Linked DNA regions of Saccharomyces cerevisiae S288C. The protein of the gene in region 1 binds, or shares a complex with, the protein of each later gene. Each region holds a gene or a part of one and is shown in the gene's direction. Other genes may lie near its edges.

Region 1 (7,596 bases):
TAAACCATATAAAGGTTAGTACATGAAGAAGTGTGTACAGTTATGGCAATAACTGTTCTCTTCCGTTTTAAAGAGAGTATTATCACGGTCTGAAAATTAAGCAAAAAAAGAAAAGCGTGCACTTAAAAATCGGTGGTGGACAGACCGCATATTCCATAAACATAGATGGTACAAGGGCATTATGAGTCCTTGAATAGAAAAAATGATGAAAGAATGAATGCAATTCCGTATTGCGACACTGGCGAAGTGTTCGAGGCTGACACGATAGCGAATGTATGGAAAAGAGAAGATAAGGAATGGTTAAAAAGGACTCAAAGTGATCGAAGTGGATACGAGTATCCACGACTAGGAGAATCACCATATATCAATATGACAGACGACTTCAGAATGGAAAAGAAGGTAATATGTCAAGATATCTTTTGGTCATGTGATGGTACATCGTTTGTTTCTGTGCATAATGATTTTGGCATCAGACAATATTTAGTGCCGGAGGAAAGTAATACGGACAAGCTAAACAGAAACCTCCTTCTACCATTTACAAGGTTTTTTAGAAACCAGTCTATTGTTTCATGTGCAATAGACCCGTTTTACACGCTTTATAACGAGAATTCCGACAGGTTAGCTGGTGACAGAATCGTGGTTGGAGGAAAAAACTTCCCTCTACAACTATACTCTTTGATGGACGGGCAGTGTATCCTCAGCTATGACACGATGAACAAAATAAATGGAGAATACGAAACTGTATACAGTGTGAAAATCGATGTTGAGTCTCGTGTATACACTGGCTCATGCCGTAACAAAGTGGCGATATACGACAAGAGCAGACGAGATGCCGTGTGGATGAACCAGAGTACCAAAAAAGCAAGCAAGGGAAGACAAAGCATTATATCTTGCTTTGAAGAGCAACCAATGGGAGGGCAAGCTCTCTCAAGAGGATCTCTATTGTGTGGCAGTTATGCGAATGAAATGTTTCAGGTAGACTGCCGTCATCAACGACTAGAGAGACTGAACTACACCCGCACAGTTGCAGGTGGGATTGTACAAATCCTTACAAGCGATAACGGGCGTTACGTGTACGTTGTCAGACGCAACAGTGACGCGATTAGTATTTACGATCGGCGAAACCTGCAGCACGAGCTTAACGTATTGCGCCTACCGTTTCGGATCCACCACAACTCTGCAAAGTTGAAGGCATATATAGATACGGCTTACGGACTAAGTATGGGGACGCCGCAGGGAACAATATTGAACTGGGGTCGAGACCTTGTGGAATTTGGAGGTGTTCCCTCACACAATAGTGTTGAAGACCCACTAATCACGTCTATCCCGCCAGAGTCAGAGTGGCGCACTAACCTTGATTCTACTATTCCTGCCACGGTAGTGAAGAATTGTCCTGGGGATCCCGAACTGTTCGCCCTATCTCATGGGGGCACAATTTCATTATGCAGGTTCGGCGGCTAAAAACGGCAAACCCGTATTCGTGTATCACCCGGCCAGCTTTCTCCGATGAACGCGCACAAGTAAGAAGTTAAATTGCATCCCCCAGACACCACCTCTTTTGTTCACTTCTTGCCTCATGCCGTCAAAAAATTTTTTTCGCATCGAAAAAAATCCCCAAAAGAAAAGAAAAAAGTTCTTATTTTTATATAGTGCCACCATCGGGAAAAACTTCCCTGTAAAGCATTAACAGAGTCTTCCATCCCCGCTTCTGTCCTTTATTTGTTTCATAGAAGCTATTAAGCATCATATACTGCACACAGGAGCATGCATAGTGTCTGAAGCCTCTTTTGTTCTGTACTGCACATAATATTTCATAGAAAAACTAACGGAAAGAATCTACAACTCATAGTATCTGTAAATCCGTCCTATTGTCATATCACAATCACAGACTATGACCACTCAAGAATCGATCAAACCTTTGGTAGATAGAATCCTATCAAATCCCCTGCAGTTCAATGCTGCAATGATCTCTAACAAATCGAATAATAATGATACTTCCGCCGCGCCGGAAAATAGCTCGTATATTGTGATAGGAAAACAGCATAATAACAATAGTAATAGCACAGCTATTGCTGCAACGGCCGAATCCAAGCAAATAAAAGAAAATAACTTGATAGACAGGCCAAACGGAAAGAAAACCAACACTGTTCCTAAATCTATGGCTGAAGCTTTATTGTTGTATACTTCTAAAAATGATAAAGATGCTGCAGATGCTACTGGTGCCAAGAAGTCAGCGGAGCTTTCTACGGAGCTTTCTACGGAGCCTCCTTCCTCTTCTTCGGAAGATGACAAAGTAGGAAAAGAGGAAGAGGAAGAGGGTGAAATATTTCATGAGGCAAGAGACTATGTAGAACCCCGAAAAGCTAGTTTGAAGGAACGCGACAACGCAGATAAGGGCGATGGTGAAGACATCGGCGAAGACATCGGTGAAGACATCGGTGAAGACATCGGTGAAGACATTGGTGAAGACATTGGTGAAAACTTGGGTTCTCCATTAGCAACCATTGATGATTCATCTAATGAGAATGAAAAGGAAAAAAGAAAGGAACTGTCTACAAGCATTAGCAGTGATGACGAAATAGAAGACGACGAGGATGAGGATGACATGGATTATGATTCTAGTGCTATGGAAAAAGAGCTCCCTGAAGAAGAGGAGAACGATTCCAGCTCCAAAATTTCTGAAGGCGAAAAAAAGAGTTTATATCAAGATTTAATGGAAAATAGTACAGTGGAAGTAAATCGGTACGAACCAGTAAACAACACCAAAGAAAATGGAAACAGGAATCCAAAGGGAGAGGAGGAGGAAGAAGAGGAAGAAGAGCTGAAACATAAATCTAGGTCAATCACCCCTCCGGTTACAATATCAAATCTATCAAACTTTTACCAATTCAATGAAAATATCAATGATCGTGGTTCTTTAAACTCTACTAGAATTGTTAAAAATTGGGGCGACAAATTCACCAATTTGAAGCCTCGTGGCCTTTTGAATCATGGTGTTACTTGTTACACAAATGCTGCTGTACAGGCTATGTTACACATTCCTTCGATACAACATTATCTTTTTGATATACTAATGGGGAAATACGATAGCACCATCTCAAAAAATTCCGTTTCCTATACTTTAGCTGAAACAAGTAAAAAAATGTGGTTACCGGTCTCAAAAAACCCTAGAAAGAACGTTTCAGCTTCCTACATTAATCCAAAACATTTGATTTCCAGATTGGATGACATTAATTGTATGATGAGCGAATGGCAGCAGGAAGATTCACATGAGTACTTCATGTCTCTGATGTCAAGATTACAGGAAGATTCTGTTCCCAAGGGTCATAAACTTATAGAATCGATAATATATGACATATTCGGTGGTCTTTTAAAGCAGATCGTTACTTGCAAATCTTGTGGCAGTATATCTAAAACAGAACAACCATTTTACGATTTATCGTTGCACTTGAAAGGGAAGAAAAAACTTGATCCAAATTCTGACCTGTCGAGTGATAGCATTAACGGCACTTCAGCCACCACTTCTACCACTACCTCCAATGCTGCCACAAAACCATCTCTTTCATCCTCTTCATCTGTCAATTTAAACAATGGCTCACCATTTGCCGCTGCCAGTGATTTAAGTTCAGCCAACCGCAGATTTTCTATTGAAAAATCAATTAAAGATTTCTTCAATCCCGAATTAATCAAGGTTGACAAGGAGCAAAAGGGTTACGTTTGTGAGAAGTGTCACAAGACCACGAACGCCGTGAAGCATAGTTCAATATTAAGGGCTCCTGAAACTTTACTTGTGCATCTGAAAAAATTCAGATTCAATGGCACGTCCTCATCAAAAATGAAGCAAGCTGTTTCTTATCCTATGTTTTTAGATTTGACGGAATATTGTGAGAGTAAAGAGCTACCTGTCAAATACCAACTATTAAGCGTGGTGGTTCATGAGGGCCGCTCCCTTTCTTCAGGTCACTACATTGCCCACTGCAAGCAACCAGACGGTAGCTGGGCCACTTACGACGACGAGTATATTAATATAATATCTGAAAGGGACGTTTTAAAGGAACCCAACGCATATTATCTCCTATACACGAGGCTAACTCCAAAATCGGTTCCATTGCCATTGGCGAAATCTGCCATGGCCACTGGTAATGTTACCTCTAAATCCAAACAGGAACAGGCTGTTAACGAACCAAATAACCGCCCATTGAAGATTAATAGCAAGAAAAATAACAGAAAAAAATGGAAAAAAAATAAAAAAAGGAAGTTCACCAAATGAAAAAACTCGATATTCCTGGATTTTCCTCTTTTCATAGGCATTTTTATTAGCATTTCATTTTTATTATACCAAATCAATATATACATATAAATATCCGGTCTTTATTGACTTATAAAACAACTCTCAGTATACAGAGTTGGAGAAGCGTTTACTCAGAATAGCTTCAGTACTACCGAGCTTTGCTAACATAACGGGAGAAAGAGAATTTAAAACTTATATACATATTTACAGAATAGATCAGTAGAAAGAAGAAGGAAGGTCTGTTGAAAATTTCTCGAAATTGACGGTACTTTTTTGTCTTTTCACTACTTACAGATCAAGGTACAACCTTAATACCCATACTTTTTGCAACGCCAACTATTGATTTAACAATACCTTCCATCTCCAATAAACTATGCCTTTCATCACTCTTTTTTATCTTGGCTATTTCGTAAACGTGCTTCAGCGATAACTCTCCTAAAGCACGGGTTGGTCCCTTGGCAGGTGCACTGCCTAACATTGTCCCCACATTCGGTTGTCCATGTCCCTTGTCCATTTTAAGAGCTTTTAGCAGCAAATATCCGGTTGGTGGAGATTTCATTTCAAACGTAAATGTTCTATCAGGTTTTATTGTGATTAATACTGGAACCGGTACACCTGGCTGATAGTTTGCTGATCTTGCATTAAATTCCTTACAAAAGTCAATGGCTTTTATACCCTTGGAGCCCAATGCGGGCCCCACGGGAGGTGATGGTGCCGCTTGGCCTGCTCCTACTATTAGCTTTACTATCACGTTTTTTGCTGCCTGTGACATTATGGAGACTAATAGTTCCTCTATGGTATTCGAGAGTTCGAAAGTACAACAAACAGAAATAAATACAGAAGGTTACGCTGTCGATTTGAATGTTCACGCTTTTTTTCCTTCTTATGAGTTGTAGATTTACTGCACTTTCTAAAGCTTCTTTGCTGTGAAATTTTAGAAAAGGGAATTGTCGCCTTGGTAAGACAATTAATGTTACCCGCTTCATTATTATTAATTAGTGGCGCGATATTTTAACGAACTTTTCCATTAATTATTATCATACTAAGCTTTTACATTTTTCTGATAAAATAGTAGATTATGAACAGGAGGTCAATCTATTTAGGCTTCTATAGAACGGTAAAATATGAAATTAGTTTAACAGAAGTAAATATGACATTGTATTTTAACATATACTCAAATAGGATAAAAAAAGGTTATATACAAATGCTTGGAAAAGAAATAAAAGTGGGGACGCTTATTTATTGATTATTTTGCTTTTTCTTTTTCTTTTCTAGGCCTGCAATATGTGCTTCACTTTGATCCACTTGTGTGTGATGATGGTCTTCTCCTCTAACCACTTTGAACGATAATCCATCTTCAACCAAGTGGCACATATCAATGCTACGGATCCAAGGATCTTCCATGATTTCTTCGATATTTCCTCTGCATGCGGGCGCCAAATCAATCATACGTCCAACAATATGCTGAGTCTCTTCTGGTAATGAGTGCAACAATCTTTGTGGCCCGATATTAACATTATTAGGATCTGATACATTATTGGAAGAGCTTTCGGGTTTTTTCTTTTCTGTTGAGTGCGATTCATCGTAGGAAGGTGGATCAGGAGTTCTTGTAACCAAGCTACTTAAGGAGTCGCAATCACGTCCGGAACAAAATAGTTTGAATGAATTGTCCCTTAATTTCGGAATTTTCCATGGAAATTTCTTCAGTATCATACATGCAAAAATGATTGCAGAAGACCAAATATCTACGGGACGTGGGTCATACTTCGCAAATATACAGACTTCAGGTGCTAAATATGGATCACTTCCAACAATTCCACTTGCTTCCACAAGATTTTTTGAGAATGGATATGAAAATACCACAGCAGCACCAAAATCGATTAATTTTACAATACCTTTTTCGTTTATAACACAATTATCTAGCTTTAGATCTCTATGAGCTAAGCCGATACTATGCAAATATTGTACACCAGTAAGTATTTGTTTGAAGCAACAACAAATCTCTTCATAGGACATTTTATTACTCATTACAATAGCAAATAAATCGTATTCACAATATTCCATAACTTGGAGAATTCTATCATTTTCATACACGATTTCAATTGTTTCAATGATATTGGGATGATTCAAAGTTGTACCAATACAGTATTCTGATGTAATTTTCTTGACATAATCTCTTTTGGATTCATTTTCAAATTTAGTTCTAAACTCCTTCACTGCAAATATTTTGTTATCTGAAATTCTTTGAGCTAATTTGACAGAACCTCCTGCTCCAGCGCCTAAATCGGCACCGGTTTTGATGTACCTTTTTGAGAACGGAATTCCTGAACCGCCGTGACTATGAGAATAAATAGTATCTCCATTTCCGTTATAACTAGTGGAATATGAGTTATTCCCTGCGGCAAAATGAGACGATGAATGAGAGTGTGACGGAACGGCAATTCCGCTAGAAAGAGGTGATCCGTTCGGGATCACGTTGTTACTATTCGAGGAAAGGTTACTGTTAGAACTTTTTTTGAAGAACCTCTTTAAATCACCGATGGAAGAATGTTGTGACCTTGGAACACTTTGACTTGGAGGTAAGTGGTCATGTACAGATGAGGGGGAACCGTAAAAGTTATCAGTATAGGAACCAGTTGGCTGTCTTGATGCAGAATATATGCTGCTTTGTCTTGCGCGGATAGGCTTCGGGATAGGCGTCGAACCATTGGTAACATTGGGATTCTTAATGTTTGGAGAAGGACCATTGGAATTGGCAGAAAAAGACATGCCTGCAGAGTTAGAATTTGAAGATTCTTTTGAGTTTTTGGAAAAGAAAAAATTCCCAAGCTGTGAAGAGAATGAACCTGAACGGGATATAGATCTTGATTGAGTGGCATTTGCATTATTACTATCCATCGATGCTTTTTGGAGTTTTTGTTTGGAGATAACAAAACGTGGTTCCACGCTATCTACTTTTGGGGAGGATATAACATTTGAATCGATTGCAGAAATATTATTGGGCATACCGCCTGCATATGTTTCGAGCCACGAAGAAGACAAAGAGGAGCTGTTGCTATTCGAGCTATTGTTATCTTTGTTAGAATTTGGCACGGAGTAAGGTATACTTGATGATAAAGAAGGAATGGCCCTTCCTGAAGTATGTGACGTGGTAGATAATCTACTTGTGATTCTGTTCTGTGCAGCAAAAGAACCACCATGTGAGGAAAGTCCTGCAGTACCTTGATCGTTTATTAAGGATCCAAATCTATCTCTACTTTGTGCACTTGTGCCGTAGAATGATGCAGTGTGAGCAAAGTTTGCAT
Region 2 (17,499 bases), on another chromosome or scaffold:
CCAAAACGCGAAAAGACGATAAATAAGTATATCGTTCCAAATACTGATAGTTCTGTACGACCTGTTGGAATAACGCGAAAAGAAGGGTACGGCGTAATCACCCCACACGGCTTGTATTTTTTTCGGAGAACTAAGTCATAGACGTAATGCTAATTTTTCCGTCTAGCCGATGTTTATGCGGCTTTTATTTTTTTTTTTTTTTTTTTCTCATCTTTGTTCTTCCGGTTTCCAAGATGTCTCACAGATTATTACAGTGAATTCCAAAATCATGTTTACTACTGGAATTTGTATGCATATGTTTTGGCAATCTTAAGCCTACGGATTTTAAATGTGATGGATATAACGAACAGTGTTTACTGGAGACTCACTTCTCTGGGCTTGAGTTTACGATGTATAGTCATATAAAAATGAAGAAATTTCTTGAGTGACAATTGCCGCCGTACTTCGTATTGTCTTTTCTTGACAGTGAGGGCGTATAAGATACATCGTACATACATAGAGACTCATTTAGTGATGCTTGAATCGAGCAGTGATAAGATAAAGTTTGCGCCTATTAAAGAGGTAGATTACAAAAAACCGGTAAGTAAGAGTAAGAACTATACTCTTATTAATGACATCCAACCATTGGAGTGGTATTGTCACAATGATAGTGAAACGGGCTACCAACACACCATAAGTAACAAGACAGATGGTGGTAGAGGTTTATTCAGAGTGATGAAAAAATCGATGGAGACCAGAGTCGAGACCCAAACGTTATATTTCACAGATTTGCATACAGGCTTGTGTGGATTTGTTCAATTACTGTATTCTACGGTTATGGGTGGTATCTATAAAGGCTTCCAATTGAATTTCAAGGTTTTTGGCTCAGAAAGTAATAATACTGACTACGACGTTTGGGAAAGTTTTAAATTGGATGACATAGCTGAATTTCAACCATTAAAGTTTGTCTCTAGAAATGTTATTTTTGAATTTTTGAGCAACAAAAATGAAAAATTAGGTTCCATTGGCCAGTTATCTATCAAATGTGATTTACCAACATGTAACAATACAATTCAAAATTTGAAAATCGATTTGTTGGTGGATTTGTTTCAAGGTTTTAAGATGAACCCCAACGGTTGCAATTATTATTTTGACAAACAAATCTCGATGAGTGACGAATTCGTTTCCTCAGACAAAATGATCAGACATGTTTTTGTGCCCAGAGGTAAATGTAATGGTAATATTTCCTACGATAAAAAACTCAATAGTGGGGACTTTCAAAATAAAAATATTTCATTAACTGATGTTCCTGTCGTTTATCTGGACGCTGTTCAAGGTCTTTTGCCGAATAAAGCAGCCAGTAAATGGAATTTCCTATGTTTTCAGAGCGAAAACTACTCTGTTTTAGCAATTGAATTCACTACTCCTCGAGATCATGATAACGTCACCGTAACAGTTTGGTCAATTACTGAAAAAAACAAACTGATATCTATTGGTTCTTCTGTGCAGAGCCCAAAACGTCATGTTAGGTTCCGTGCTACGAGTACAGATAAGGAAAGCGGCTGGGTATATCCAACCTCTATCAAGTTCCCCGGTGGATTTTCAGAACACGACTTGAGGCTGGTTAATCGATACGACGTTCTCGGTGAGTTACCAAGCATGGTCAGGTCGTTAGCTCAGAAAATTGTGAGCATCAAACCTTTCATTTATCAATACTGTCAACCTTCTAAATATAAGCACGAGAAAGGTATTTCTATCGTTGAGAGCACCTTCATTAGTTGAACAAAAGCGTGAACACTTCCACATGAAATTCGTTTTTTGTCCTTTTTTTTCTCTTCTTTTTCTCTCCTGTTTCTTCTACCAACTTTACCTAATAATTAATGTGTAATCGAATTTTTTTACATAATCACTACCTAATAACTAATTTATCATCACTTTTTTTTTTCATTTTGAGGCCACACTTTCCCCCATGGACTATTGCATCATTGCGCCATGCTTCTTACTTGCGTAAGCCATAGAACGGAAATATCATGTTCCCCTTGCCGCATGCATATTGAAAACATCACGGGAACGAGAAGAATGGCATTTTCGAAATAAAAAGAAATCATATTTCAAATGTTGGGGAGAGAAAGCAAAGGGGAATCAATAATCATTAAGGGAAGTCGATGAAAGTTTCCTTTTCCGAACTCTACCTCGCCTTATATAAAACCTTGGTCTAAACGGATAAACCGAGATGTAGTTGAGTTTGTGAATCCAGTTCTTGTCCTTCTTCCTCTTTCAAAAAGTGAAGCAATCAGTTGAGAGTGTAGCTATAGAGGTGTGTACTCTAGAAATCAGACTTTCATAGCAAGCAGACTTTTTTTTTGTTGAATCTTACTAGCGGATTTTTTAGAGTTTTCTTCTTCGGACTAATCTGTCAATGGTTCCAGTAAGATTAATGAGTCAAAAGCCCTCTATAATTGTATCGAGAAATTTCTTAAAAGAAGGAATATAATTATTGCGGTCACTAGAAAGTTATAAGAAGGTTACCATTTAACTGAACAGCAGCGGTATAGTACGGAATAAAAAAGTCTTTTAAAATGTTGCTTAGTGCGCCTGTTAACAGTACCGTGCGGCGCAAGCCACACAGTCCAAATAAAAAAAAGCCAAAAGAGACAGGTACAGCTGCTTCCTTTTCGTCGTCCTCTTCAACTGTCGTCCTTTCATCCAATAATGATGGCAGCTTTGATGCTCTTTGGGACCCCTCTATAAGTAAGGCCTCGGATTTTGAGAGTAGCTATATTAGTGCTAAACGATTAAAACCAGAAAGTAGTAATAGACAGAAAAAAAAAAATTCTTATAAATATTCTAGGGAGGAAAACACCAACGAGGTAGAGGAAAAGACGTCTCTTGGCAGCAGCTCTAAGACAGAAGCAGATAATATATTTAATGACCAGCTCACGTCAGCTGGCAATACTACATATGTCAGTAATAAGCGCGATGTAAACTTCGGGGCGAATTCGGCTGTAGTACTGCTCGGTTTGCCAACAAGTAAAAGTGAATCTCACCGACAATACCACAGTCCTTCGGCTTCAACAACTAATGAAGATGAAGAGGACATTGGTGTTGATATTTTAGTAGACAACCACATCGATAGTTGCGAAACAGTATCGATAAATAATAATAGAGGTATTACACACCAATATCCAGAAACGGAATCAGATGTCGACTTTGATGAGGCCGTGATATTGACACCAATGGATGGTACGGATAAGGGAGTGAAAAATCCAAGACCACTCGAAAAAAAATATAGTAGCAGTTGTTTTGAGGACCGTACGCCCCTTAACTTGGATGATGGTCATTTCAGTGAATGCAATCATTTTTCTACATTAGATGTGTCTAGCTTTTTTCATCTCAACGAGCATGTGCATAAAATCGACGAAGTAGAGCTCGATGGACCTGATCGCACCTTTAGTCTAGACAACGTCGCTATTAATACAAGGAAAAAGGATATTGATTGCCTCTATAATAGTTCAAGAGAAGACTTATCCAACCTCACATGTTCTTCGGAAGGCCCAAGGAATGATAGTTATGATAGTGATTACAACATTGATGAGGTCACTTATAGAGATGATGAATCAACAGATGAAGACGAGAGCTTACCAACCCCAGATCGAAAAAGGAAGAAAATTGGCCATAAAGCTTGCGAAATATTGGATTCTAAAAGAATTGGAATAAAAGTACCAAAGTTATACGTTTGGTCTTTAAGTGATAAACCGTTTAGTGTTATCGATGGGTTGTGCACAAAATCGCTGTACCCATTGAGTGATGACATAAATACTCCTGAAAGTTTGAGCTCATGCTCAAGCTCAGTAAGTTCACGGGAAAATCAAAAAGGAGATGCAACATTTGATAATGATGCTATGATAGCCGACCTTCTAAACATAGGCGGACTCGAAGTAGAGAAGGCATCCAATGGCCATATTGAGCTCATAGGCGAGTGATTATTTGATATTCCAGAAGAATCATTATCGTCTTTTAAAGGAAAATATGATCGTTTGCGAAAAAATAGAAGCACTTTACTACTTGAATTGTCATAGAATAGTAGGAAAACCTACTTAGTCAGCGAAGATCAACTTGGAATATCGTATGATGAGATGGAGAAAAATTTAGGGGCCGAAATGGATGGATCCACTTGAGAGAGGATCAAGGAATACTGAAGTGCAGCTGACGATCCAGTCAGCGACATCTGTCTTTTTTTAATTACTATTGCTGTGTACTTATAGAGTCGGTGGCATTTATTTTATTTTTAGTATTTTTTTATACGTGCGTATTCTATTGTTCATTTTTTTACCAATTTTTTTTTTATTTTTATATTTTGTTTCTTGCGTGGAGTTTTTACAGGAAGTTAATCACAACAGAGGGTTCAATCTCCAAGGCATAAAATAAACAAAAATTGTAATAGTTAGCAACTGCAATACGAATTAAAATTTGAGGAAAAATCTAGTATTGTTCACACGAGCCAATGCTCTGAAGTTTCGAAAGCTAATAAATATCATGTGGAAACTTTTCTGAGTCATTAATAAGCAACACTATTTATTCTTCTTATAATTAGTCTTACAAGTAAACTGCCTTGCCGCATAAGCGCATTCCCTCTATGAGACCATTTGTAATTTCGAGAACACAATTTTACAACCGAGTAAATATCTTATAATCATTAAAATTATTAAACTATTATACAATTTTTTTTACTTTACTTTAATTTTTATATACCCATATAAATAATAATATTAATTATAACCAAAGGAAGTGATTTCATTATGCTTGAGTAGAGGAAGAGTACTTGGTAACAGCTCTAGTACCTTCAGAGACAGCATGCTTAGCCAATTCACCTGGTAAGATCAATCTAACAGCGGTTTGAATTTCTCTAGCAGAGATAGTAGACTTCTTGTTATACGCAGCCAATTTAGAAGCTTCAGTAGCGATTCTTTCAAAGATATCGTTAACGAAAGAGTTCAAGATAGACATGGACTTTTGGGAAATACCAGTGTCAGGGTGAGTTTGCTTCAAAACTTTGTAAATGTAAGAAGAGTATGTTTCCTTTCTAGCCTTGCTTCTCTTCTTACCATCAGTGGAAGTGGAAGTCTTTTTAGCGGCTGGTTTCTTTTCAGCTGGGGCTTTGGAGGCTGGTTTCTTTTCGGCTTTAGCAGACATTGTATGTGTGTATGGTTTATTTGTGGTTTGACTTGTCTATATAGGATAAATTTAATATAACAATAATCGAAAATGCGGAAAGAGAAACGTCTTTAATAAATCTGACCATCTGAGATGATCAAATCATGTTGTTTATATACATCAAGAAAACAGAGATGCCCCTTTCTTACCAATCGTTACAAGATAACCAACCAAGGTAGTATTTGCCACTACTAAGGCCAATTCTCTTGATTTTAAATCCATCGTTCTCATTTTTTCGCGGAAGAAAGGGTGCAACGCGCGAAAAAGTGAGAACAGCCTTCCCTTTCGGGCGACATTGAGCGTCTAACCATAGTTAACGACCCAACCGCGTTTTCTTCAAATTTGAACTCGCCGAGCTCACAAATAATTCATTAGCGCTGTTCCAAAATTTTCGCCTCACTGTGCGAAGCTATTGGAATGGAGTGTATTTGGTGGCTCAAAAAAAGAGCACAATAGTTAACTCGTCGTTGTTGAAGAAACGCCCGTAGAGATATGTGGTTTCTCATGCTGTTATTTGTTATTGCCCACTTTGTTGATTTCAAAATCTTTTCTCACCCCCTTCCCCGTTCACGAAGCCAGCCAGTGGATCGTAAATACTAGCAATAAGTCTTGACCTAAAAAATATATAAATAAGACTCCTAATCAGCTTGTAGATTTTCTGGTCTTGTTGAACCATCATCTATTTACTTCCAATCTGTACTTCTCTTCTTGATACTACATCATCATACGGATTTGGTTATTTCTCAGTGAATAAACAACTTCAAAACAAACAAATTTCATACATATAAAATATAAAATGTCCGGTGGTAAAGGTGGTAAAGCTGGTTCAGCTGCTAAAGCTTCTCAATCTAGATCTGCTAAGGCTGGTTTGACATTCCCAGTCGGTAGAGTGCACAGATTGCTAAGAAGAGGTAACTACGCCCAAAGAATTGGTTCTGGTGCTCCAGTCTACTTGACTGCTGTCTTGGAATATTTGGCCGCTGAAATTTTAGAATTAGCTGGTAATGCTGCTAGGGATAACAAGAAGACCAGAATTATTCCAAGACATTTGCAATTGGCTATCAGAAATGATGACGAATTGAACAAGCTATTGGGTAACGTTACCATTGCCCAAGGTGGTGTTTTGCCAAACATCCATCAAAACTTGTTGCCAAAGAAGTCTGCCAAGGCTACCAAGGCTTCTCAAGAATTATAAGATCGGTTCTGGTATTTTAAAGAAGGCGGAAGGAACTAAACTGCTTCTCCATTGTAACTATATTAAGTGTCTATTAGACCTTTCTGTTTTTCCTTTTTATTTTTCTATATATAATTTATTGGGTATATAATTAACGGTAACATATGTCATGCATGATATAAATTTTTTGTTGTGTCTTCCTGTTTTCTCTGTTGCTCTGTTTAGGTTCATTGGGCACTGTTGCTTACTTGAACATGATTGAGTAGCAAACACATTCTGTGCTTTGTTCACTTTGATAGTGTGACGAAATTTTCACAACCAAAGGAAAAAAGCTCACGATTGCGCGATCCTGTCACGGAGAACTGTCCGCAGCAGCCCGCGGCTTCTGTCCTTATTCGCCCATTTTTTTTTGATTTTCGACTTTTTCACTCTGGCTAGTTTTATTACGCATATTTGTATATATATATACGCATAAATTTCTGAAATGGATTACCTGGTTTATCAGAAACGAGAGCTTTAATAAAGAAACATTAACGTTTCTCTGGTAAAGTCACCACACAGCATCAAATATAACAGTAATGTCTAGCTCAGAATCCATTAGAATGGTCCTAATTGGCCCACCTGGTGCCGGTAAAGGTACTCAAGCTCCAAATTTGCAAGAGCGTTTCCATGCCGCTCACTTGGCCACTGGTGACATGTTGAGATCTCAAATCGCAAAGGGCACTCAATTAGGTTTGGAAGCAAAGAAAATTATGGACCAAGGTGGTTTAGTCTCTGATGACATTATGGTTAACATGATCAAGGATGAATTGACCAACAATCCAGCTTGTAAGAATGGGTTCATCTTGGACGGTTTCCCAAGAACCATTCCTCAGGCTGAAAAATTGGACCAAATGTTGAAAGAACAAGGAACTCCTTTGGAAAAAGCCATCGAATTGAAGGTTGATGATGAATTGTTGGTTGCCAGAATTACCGGTAGATTAATTCACCCAGCCTCTGGCAGATCCTACCACAAGATCTTTAACCCACCAAAGGAAGACATGAAGGATGACGTCACCGGTGAAGCTTTAGTTCAAAGATCTGATGACAATGCAGACGCCTTGAAGAAGAGATTAGCTGCTTACCATGCTCAAACCGAACCAATTGTTGACTTTTACAAAAAGACCGGTATCTGGGCTGGTGTTGATGCTTCCCAACCTCCTGCTACTGTTTGGGCTGACATCTTGAACAAGCTAGGTAAGGATTAATGACCTTGCGCAATGTCTTCTAAATATCTTTTCTTTTTTTTAAATTAATGAAAATATAATAAATTTTTGTATGTGAGTACATATATCCGCAGTATACTATAAATGAAATAATAACATAAGTGTTTGTAACTGGCTATAACGTCCTTAAACATGTGCACTGCCATTAAGTACTTAGTCAATATTTTTATCGTTGAGAACGAACGCAAATCATATTACTAAATAGATGAACAAAAGCGCATCACATAAACAAAAACGGTATAACAGTAATAGTGAAGCTTTTTATAAACCTATAACGAAATAAGCGCTTTTCAGGTTTTATAATTCAGTCAGAGTTCTAACTGGACATCGTTTTGCAGGGGATAAAAAAAAAAAGGAAGCTTCAACCCACAATACCAAAAAAGCGAAGAAAACAGCCAATGCCAAATGACAATAAGACACCCAATAGGTCCAGCACTCCCAAGTTTACTAAAAAACCAGTAACCCCGAATGATAAAATTCCTGAAAGAGAAGAAAAATCCAATGAAGTGAAGACACCTAAAATTCCATTATTCACGTTTGCCAAAAGCAAAAACTATTCAAGGCCGTCAACCGCAATTCATACCTCACCTCATCAACCAAGTGATGTAAAACCGACTTCCCATAAACAGTTGCAACAGCCAAAATCCTCACCACTGAAAAAAAATAACTATAATTCTTTTCCTCACTCAAATCTGGAAAAAATAAGCAACAGCAAACTACTCTCCCTTCTTCGGTCCAAAACGTCAGCAGGAAGAATTGAATCAAACAATCCTTCACATGATGCTAGCAGGTCTCTAGCAAGTTTTGAACAAACAGCATTTTCCCGGCATGCGCAGCAACAAACTTCTACCTTCAATTCAAAGCCTGTACGTACCATAGTACCGATATCAACATCACAAACCAATAACTCATTTTTATCAGGAGTAAAAAGCTTACTAAGTGAAGAGAAAATAAGGGATTACTCTAAAGAGATTCTAGGCATAAACTTGGCAAACGAACAGCCTGTTTTAGAGAAGCCACTTAAAAAAGGATCAGCAGACATCGGCGCCTCTGTGATTTCTTTGACCAAGGACAAATCTATCAGGAAAGATACCGTAGAAGAAAAAAAAGAAGAAAAGTTGAATATAGGTAAAAACTTTGCCCATTCTGATTCACTATCAGTTCCGAAGGTTAGTGCCGGTGACAGTGGTATATCACCGGAGGAGAGCAAGGCAAGAAGTCCTGGAATTGCAAAACCGAATGCCATACAAACAGAAGTGTATGGAATAAATGAGGAATCTACTAACGAGCGTTTAGAAATAAATCAAGAAAAACCAGTAAAATTAGATGAGAATAGTGCAAATAGTACGGTCGCATCGGCCTTAGATACCAATGGGACGTCAGCCACGACAGAAACTCTAACATCAAAGAAGATCGTTCCATCTCCAAAAAAAGTCGCCATTGATCAAGATAAAATAACACTGCACGATGAGAAAACACTTGCACCTTCGAAGCATCAGCCTATAACATCTGAACAAAAAATGAAGGAAGACGCCGACCTCAAGAGGATGGAAATCTTAAAGTCACCTCATTTGTCGAAAAGTCCAGCTGACAGACCTCAAGGGCGTAGAAACAGCCGAAATTTTTCCACTAGAGATGAAGAAACTACAAAACTTGCTTTTCTTGTTGAATATGAAGGCCAAGAAAACAACTATAACTCTACTTCTCGAAGCACAGAAAAGAAAAATGATATGAACACTTCTGCAAAGAATAAAAATGGTGAAAACAAGAAAATTGGTAAGAGGCCGCCTGAAATCATGAGCACTGAAGCTCACGTAAACAAAGTAACCGAAGAAACCACAAAGCAGATACAGAGTGTACGAATAGATGGTCGAAAAGTGCTTCAAAAAGTACAAGGAGAATCCCACATTGATTCGAGAAACAATACCCTGAATGTTACACCATCAAAGAGGCCCCAGCTAGGAGAAATACCGAATCCTATGAAAAAGCATAAGCCTAATGAAGGGCGAACTCCAAATATCTCAAACGGTACAATAAACATCCAAAAGAAATTAGAGCCTAAGGAAATTGTGCGAGATATTTTGCATACGAAAGAATCATCAAATGAGGCTAAGAAAACTATTCAAAACCCTTTAAATAAATCACAAAACACTGCTCTTCCTTCCACACATAAAGTTACACAAAAAAAAGATATAAAAATTGGAACTAATGACCTTTTTCAGGTTGAATCTGCTCCAAAAATATCCTCAGAGATTGACCGGGAGAATGTTAAATCAAAGGATGAACCGGTTTCCAAGGCTGTTGAAAGCAAATCTTTATTAAATTTGTTTTCAAACGTACTCAAGGCTCCTTTCATTAAAAGTGAAAGCAAACCTTTTTCTAGTGATGCTCTGTCAAAAGAAAAAGCCAATTTTTTGGAAACTATCGCTTCCACTGAAAAGCCAGAAAATAAGACTGATAAGGTGTCTCTATCTCAGCCAGTTAGTGCAAGTAAGCATGAGTATAGCGATAATTTTCCAGTTTCTCTATCTCAACCTTCAAAGAAATCTTTCGCAAATCATACAGAGGATGAGCAAATTGAAAAAAAGAAGATCTGCCGTGGGAGAATGAATACGATAATAACTCACCCGGGAAAAATGGAGCTGGTATACGTGTCCGACTCAGACGATTCTTCTTCAGATAATGATAGCCTAACTGACTTGGAAAGTTTAAGCTCTGGTGAATCAAATGAAATCAAAGTAACTAATGATTTAGATACAAGTGCTGAAAAGGACCAAATTCAGGCAGGCAAATGGTTTGATCCTGTATTGGATTGGCGAAAATCTGATCGTGAATTGACGAAAAACATTCTTTGGAGGATAGCTGATAAAACGACATACGATAAAGAAACAATAACTGACCTTATTGAACAAGGGATCCCAAAACATAGTTATTTAAGTGGCAATCCATTAACTAGTGTGACTAACGACATTTGCTCTGTTGAAAACTATGAAACATCAAGTGCTTTCTTTTACCAACAAGTGCACAAGAAGGACAGATTACAATATTTGCCATTATATGCAGTTTCTACATTTGAAAACACAAATAACACTGAAAAAAATGATGTGACCAATAAAAATATCAATATAGGGAAACATAGCCAAGAACAAAATTCTTCTTCCGCTAAACCATCCCAAATTCCAACCGTGTCTTCTCCATTAGGATTCGAAGAAACAAAGCTAAGTACCACGCCTACTAAAAGCAATAGAAGAGTGTCGCATAGTGATACTAATTCTAGCAAACCCAAAAACACGAAGGAGAACCTTTCAAAAAGCTCTTGGAGGCAAGAATGGCTTGCAAATTTGAAACTTATTTCCGTTTCGTTGGTTGATGAGTTCCCTTCGGAGCTTTCCGACAGTGATAGACAAATAATTAACGAAAAAATGCAGTTACTTAAAGATATATTTGCTAACAACCTTAAATCAGCAATTTCCAATAATTTTAGAGAGAGTGACATCATTATACTGAAAGGTGAAATAGAAGATTACCCAATGAGTTCTGAAATTAAGATTTACTACAACGAATTACAGAACAAGCCTGATGCAAAAAAAGCCAGATTTTGGTCATTTATGAAGACTCAGAGATTTGTTTCCAACATGGGATTTGATATTCAGAAGTCCTGTGAACCTGTTTCTATATCCACGTCGGTCAAACCACATGTGGTCGAGCCCGAGCATATGGCAGATGCCAAAATTATGCCTAAGGATATACTGCAAATTACAAAAAAACCGTTAATGGTTAAAAATGTGAAGCCTTCTTCTCCGCCAGATGTGAAGTCTTTGGTGCAGCTGAGCACAATGGAAACGAAAACCCTACCAGAAAAGAAGCAATTCGACAGTATTTTTAATTCTAACAAAGCAAAAATAATCCCTGGAAATGGGAAGCACGCATCAGAAAACATCTCACTCTCTTTCTCAAGACCTGCGTCCTACGGCTATTTTTCTGTTGGAAAAAGGGTTCCAATCGTTGAAGATCGTCGAGTGAAACAACTCGACGATATAACAGACAGTAATACAACAGAAATTTTAACTAGTGTTGACGTTTTAGGAACACATTCACAAACTGGTACTCAACAATCAAATATGTACACATCAACCCAAAAAACAGAACTTGAAATTGATAATAAGGATAGTGTCACCGAATGTTCGAAGGACATGAAAGAAGATGGTCTTTCCTTTGTGGATATCGTTTTGTCGAAAGCAGCATCGGCGCTGGATGAAAAGGAAAAACAATTGGCTGTTGCAAATGAAATTATTCGGTCTTTGTCAGATGAAGTTATGAGGAATGAAATTAGAATAACTTCACTTCAAGGTGATTTAACTTTTACAAAGAAATGTCTTGAAAATGCGAGAAGTCAAATATCTGAAAAAGATGCTAAAATTAACAAATTGATGGAAAAAGATTTTCAAGTGAATAAGGAGATAAAACCGTATTGACTTTTTATCATTCTACAAAAGACCAGTAACGAAGTGTACCCTGTTTTTCTTTGTCGTTTTCTTCTATAATGAACAATTTACTTTACGGTCTTTAATCGATTTTAATGATTAGTTGGGCTTTTGGCTACATATGTAAAATTACATATAATATAATGGACACATAAGCAAAAAAAAAAAAAAAAAAAATAAACAAATGAGCAACCCATCAAATACCAAGAACAAAGAATTTAATATAATATATAGTTATTAAATTTAAATGTATATATGCAGTTCTGCTCTTATTTTGTGACCAATTTCTTTAAGTCATCCAAACCGACCTTGCCACTATTAGATTTGCTTGAATTTTGCGACGTTTCATGATAACATGTCGAGTGGAAATATTTGCCATTCACTTCAATAGTATTTTTCCAAACCCATTCACCAGATTCTTCATCATAAACGCCAGTAACGGTTTCCTTACAAATTGGACATTTGAAGGCCATATCTTGTGAAGTTTCTGGTACAACAACATATTTTCCCCGTATTTCCAACTCGTTACTTCTATCACTTCCTAAAGTGTTGTCTACAGAGCCTTCGTCATTTTCATCAGCGTGAATATTTAGGGCACTTTTATCGATATTTTTATTGGCATGCGGATCAGTATAATCATTTTTATGCTTTGTGGAGGTAATTTCATCATCTTTGAAGGCTGCCCATTGAGAGTCACTCAAATACCAGTTTCTTGATTGAATATTTTTCCTTGTGGTAGTTGTATTTAAGTTAGAGTTGCTTATGCCTGTATTTGCTGTGTTTTGTGATCCCTTAATTCTTGTATTTATTCTGAAATGCCAGTCCAAATGCTCATTTTGTAGTAGTTTTTCACTTTCTGAGTTGCCAAATCTCTTACCACACACGCTACATTTATTTGGCTTGGATCGGTATAATAAGTGAATAAGATTATTTTGGACGATGGGATTTTCTTGAAGAAGAGTTTGTTCGGACAGCTGCAGGGATGGGTTATTCAAAACGTCGATGTTAACCGTGGCAAAATAAGCTTTGCAGTCAGAAAGAATATCATTTAATAAGGGTATCTTTGGCAGGTTCTTCATCAATTGTTTTTCGTGTGAATCAAGAGAGTAGTTTGAGTGTCCATTTAGCTTTTTATAAAGCGTTACGATGGATTCTTTTGGTGGAGTATATATGAGCCCTTCAGCCTTAAGAGATGCATAGAGGTTATTGATTTTGTTTAGGGACTTTTTTTTCTCAATTTCTTGAAAAGATTCAACGCCAGAAATATTACCAAAAAGAGAGGAAGATAAAGAATTCTGTTGGTTCGTTGTATCTGAATTATTTCCAAACAATGGAATCGCTGAATTAGAGTTTTGTGTGTAAGAACCGACCATATCCTTAGTTTCGTGATACTGCTGCTGCTGCTGCTGTTGTTGTTGTTGCTGTTGCTGCTGTTGTTGCTGTTGCTGCTGAAGTTCGTGATACCTCATTCTTTCCTGCAAAACTTGTTGGTCCTGTGAGAAGACCTGCCTTAGTTGCATTTGAACTTGTTTCAGAGCATTGAGAGTTAGTTTTTCTCTTTTCAGTTCTTGTTTCAACTGAGATAAAACCAACAGTTTCATTTTTAATTTTTCATCATTTGGTTGATTCTTTAGCCTTTCACTAGTTAAACAAGTTAATTTATCAATGTCTCTTAATAGGAGGGGAACAGTCGGAGTTGGTAACATTGCTTGCAGGTTTTTCTGGTGGAGAGCACTGGCCTTTATTAAAAACTGTTCAATTTTCTCCAGTGCTGAGCCTTCAAACAGAGGCAGGCCGGTGTCATTAGGATTCAACCAAAGCTTAAACATATTGATGAGTTTTGTTCTTGTGGTGTTGTCCACCAATAAGTATGTTCTTTTGTACAAGTTAAACAAATTTCTACTGAAGTAGATTGTGTATGGGCTGCCAACATTCTTACAAATGGAGTCCAAGGCATAAAAAGCGTATAGCTTCTGCTTAGGCATACATTTTTCAATTCTACTCTCAATGGCGTCAACAAAATATTGAGCACACGAAATGTTTTCTTCTGCTAACTTCGTGAGAGTGGTAATAATGGGTCTCGAGTTAAAAGTTAATTCTTCAAGAATACTGTTGAAATCCTTGACTATAACTTCTGTGTCGTGATCCATAATGAAAAGAGAGTATTACAAATAGACCTAGTGTTTTCAAGTACAGTTTTCTTAACTGCTCCGAAAATTGTCCTGGTAATTCTTTGCAATGCAAAATTGAAAGAGAGACTTTTAAACTACTAAACCCTTAACAGTAGAACAACATTGTCTCATTAATTTTTGAAATTTCGCTTTCTTCCCATGCCTTAGGCCAAGTTCTCATCCAATGCGTCGAGTCCTTAAAAAAAATTCGCCCGGGTAAACTAAAACTTAGATGCACTAGGTAATACCATTTGGTGATAAAGGGAATAAAAAGCAGCAAATCCTAGCTCAATTACGAAACTCTGATCACTTGGGGCCCAGCTTCATTGGCTAAATTGGTGTATCCCTTGAACCGACTACGTAAGTACGTTTTGAAAAGTGTGTAAATCTATGTATAAAAGTACATCAAAAATTAGACTGAGAAAGTTCTGTATAGCTGTACTAATACATTAGGAATAGGCTAGACTTCTTCGCCGCTGGAATAAAACAGCTGGGCCTTCTCTTCATTGGTACCACTTGCTTTGCTCTATTGAAAGTACAAAGAATAGAGCAGACGAGTGTAAACATCCTATCTGCGTTCCAACAGAAGTGCGTATTGAAGTCATCTCATGCTAATGGCCATCTCATGTAGAATAGTAAGGAAAAACGTATCTAATTTATAAAAACTTGAGTTAGATCTCAAACTTCGGTAGATTGCGCCTTATTTAACGGATGATATACACTTATTCTACTGCTCACATTACTCGTTTTACAGGAAAAAATGGTCAATGCGGGCAAAAGAAAAAAATATTGGGCGATATGTTACAAGAAAAGGGTGAGATGGAAATTTATGCTAAACATTAAGTGGAAAAAAACCATATCCATACAATAGAAGTATATATTCTGAATAAAGGGTCAATTAAATTTCACCAAGGAATAAAATATTGTTAAAGAAAGTAACAGGAAGAGAAATCGGATATGCCTGACAATAATACGGAGCAATTGCAGGGATCTCCTTCAAGTGACCAGAGACTGAGGGTTGACTGGGACAACGGTAACCATTTTGACGTCTCTCCCGACAGATACGCGCCTCATCTATCTGAATTTTACCCAATTGTAAATAGTAAAAGACCAGTGGCTAGCAGTGCTGGCTCAGAAAATAACGACCATCTGGACGACATGAACCATTTACGTTCATCCAAAGTGTATTCAAAGGCCCGTCGGGCATCGAGCATAACTTCTGGTACGAGCACAATAAACGACTTGCAAACGCTAATCACAAAGAGAGATGTGAAAGAGACCCAGGAAGCCCTATCGACATTACTCAGGAACTCGAATGCTTATTCGGATTCGTTATTAAAGACATCTCAGAATGGGGCAGAAATTGCCCATTCCTTAGAAAACATTGCCAAGTTGAAGGGTTGCAATGATGAAACGGCGGAGAAACTATTGAGTGCCAGTGGGTTATTCTACCTTTTATCTAATCATCAGCTTATAATGTCAAAGTATTTCAATGACTTGTTGGGAGATAATTTAATTGATGATATTGATGAATTCGAATTACAGACCAAGATAATGGAGAACAAGTTCAAAGCACAAAGCAAAGAGCAAAGTTTAAAATTGAAATTGCAGGAAAGACATAACTTCGATATCTCGAAAAGAAAAATAAGGAATTTAATCTCATACCGAGAGAGCCTTTCTAGCTTGCAAGCAAGGTTAGATCAACTGGAGACACTAAAGCACGATTTTTACATGGATTCATACGAACTTGTGGAAAATACATGCAACAAAGTACTCAGCAAAGTTGCCACGGTATCTAGGGCACAAGTGGAAATTTCTGAAAATATTGCAAGGAAAGGTTGGTCTGGAGGCGGGCTAGACGAACTACTTTGTGATGCAGACGACCCCTTCAGCAAAAAAGCAGATGGGCCATACGGGACCATCGGTGGTGATGGAGAGACTGCTGGAGAAGCATACAACAGCGATGAGGAAACGGGTGGGAATGACGTGGTGCTCAATGAACTACTAGAAGGAACCAGCCAACCTTCCACATCAAAAACATCTTTACCCAAATCCAAGGGGTCCTCAACGGTATCCACACCGAATCATTCACAGTCAAGTTCAAACAAGGACGGGGTACGAAACAATGGCGGCGGCAAAAATGGCGAAGATGAGGATACAGACAATTTGATGGGAACAGAAAATTCATTTTCTTTACCGCCTACGAGAAACTCTGCCGAGGAAACCACACAAACGTTTAAACAATTGTCCATTAAAGAAGATAATGACAATCACAGCAGCGATACGGACGGCATGCAAGACCAGTCAAGTAATATATAAAATTTGTAACTCTATGTATGCTTTTTATATAGAAATGGAGAAAGTGAACAATTGAAGTTATAGTATTTTCGGAGAAATGTTGCATATATACATAGGAAAACGGTTAAAAGGCCCTGCTTCTACCTTCTGTTTCCCCCTCGTTCTTTTCACCAGAACTTGTACCATTTCTTCTCAGAGGAGGCCTGAGATAAATTCTGGTTACTTTGTTCAAACTGACTCTGCTTTTCATTTTTGGCGGCCTCCCATTGCCCCGGCAGAGATGGGTCATGAGGGACATTATGGAGCATTGGTTTTTCCTTTTTCGCCACGGTTTCCTTTGCCAATTGTGCGATCTGGAAACTTTTTTGTCTCTTTAGCCTACATTGCTCCCATCCGACAATCGAGCCCAGTATCAGAGAGCTCATCGCCCAATTCGTGGCCTTAGTCGGGCTCTTATGGTATATAAATATAATAGATCCCATCAAGAACATGCTGGAAAACCCGAGCATGCCCGCGTCTCTGAAGCACGGGATTGAAGTCAGCTTCTGCAAACTAAAATCACTCCATCTGATCGAGTCCCAAGCCTCTTTCAAAGTAGCCCGTTCTTGCTTCTTGGCCAACTGAGAATTGGACAAGTCATCGGCAAACTTGGGTGGAGTGTCTTCTAAGAGGATCTTTTGACCCCGCGAGTAATTTGTCAGCACGCGATCACCATCTGCTTTACCCTGCGGTTGTTGCTGCTGCTTTTGATCTTCTGTCTGATTTGACCACGGCCACCAACGCATCTTTATATTAACTGTTGAGCTGCTCGTTACGCACTGCTGTGGACTTCACTACAATGCTTTACCGAGCAGTGGAGTTTGATATAGTGGTGGTACCCCCGACGGTGCTATAATAAGCTTGCCTGCACGGCT

The links.
Region 2: the proteins of UBP10 (region 1) and SIR4 are in contact, whole or in part, in a crystal structure (PDB 6RR0), measured with the Saccharomyces cerevisiae proteins. Residues at the interface, in NP_014213.2 of Saccharomyces cerevisiae: Leu117 (codon at 2,240), Ser118 (codon at 2,243), Thr119 (codon at 2,246), Glu120 (codon at 2,249), Leu121 (codon at 2,252), Ser122 (codon at 2,255), Thr123 (codon at 2,258), Glu124 (codon at 2,261), Pro125 (codon at 2,264), Pro126 (codon at 2,267); in NP_010513.1 of Saccharomyces cerevisiae: Leu969 (codon at 10,935), Ser970 (codon at 10,938), Lys971 (codon at 10,941), Trp974 (codon at 10,950), Glu977 (codon at 10,959), Trp978 (codon at 10,962), Asn981 (codon at 10,971), Ile985 (codon at 10,983), Asp1032 (codon at 11,124), Lys1064 (codon at 11,220), Arg1066 (codon at 11,226), Trp1068 (codon at 11,232), Lys1072 (codon at 11,244), Arg1075 (codon at 11,253), Phe1076 (codon at 11,256), Asn1079 (codon at 11,265).

What each region holds. Positions count from the first base shown.
Region 1 is NC_001146.8:287,607-295,202, forward strand, and holds UBP10 (ubiquitin-specific protease UBP10), read left to right. Parts: upstream 1-1,891; coding exon 1,892-4,270; downstream 4,271-7,596. Other genes in the region: KAR1 (Kar1p), read left to right, coding at 1-3; SWT21 (Swt21p), read left to right, coding at 388-1,461; mitochondrial 54S ribosomal protein uL11m MRPL19, read right to left, coding at 4,587-5,063; YNL184C (uncharacterized protein), read right to left, coding at 4,951-5,277; serine/threonine protein kinase NPR1, read right to left, coding at 5,531-7,596. UniProt on the Saccharomyces cerevisiae protein: Deubiquitinating enzyme involved in telomere and HM loci silencing, which is the repression of chromatin structure which leads to a stop in the transcription of nearby genes.
Region 2 is NC_001136.10:909,541-927,039, forward strand, and holds SIR4 (chromatin-silencing protein SIR4), read left to right. Parts: upstream 1-8,030; coding exon 8,031-12,107; downstream 12,108-17,499. Other genes in the region: YDR222W (uncharacterized protein), read left to right, coding at 514-1,761; CRF1 (Crf1p), read left to right, coding at 2,559-3,962; HTB1 (histone H2B), read right to left, coding at 4,777-5,172; HTA1 (histone H2A), read left to right, coding at 5,990-6,388; adenylate kinase ADK1, read left to right, coding at 6,946-7,614; PCF11 (Pcf11p), read right to left, coding at 12,386-14,266; IVY1 (Ivy1p), read left to right, coding at 15,245-16,606; COX20 (Cox20p), read right to left, coding at 16,753-17,370. UniProt on the Saccharomyces cerevisiae protein: The proteins SIR1 through SIR4 are required for transcriptional repression of the silent mating type loci, HML and HMR. The proteins SIR2 through SIR4 repress mulitple loci by modulating chromatin structure.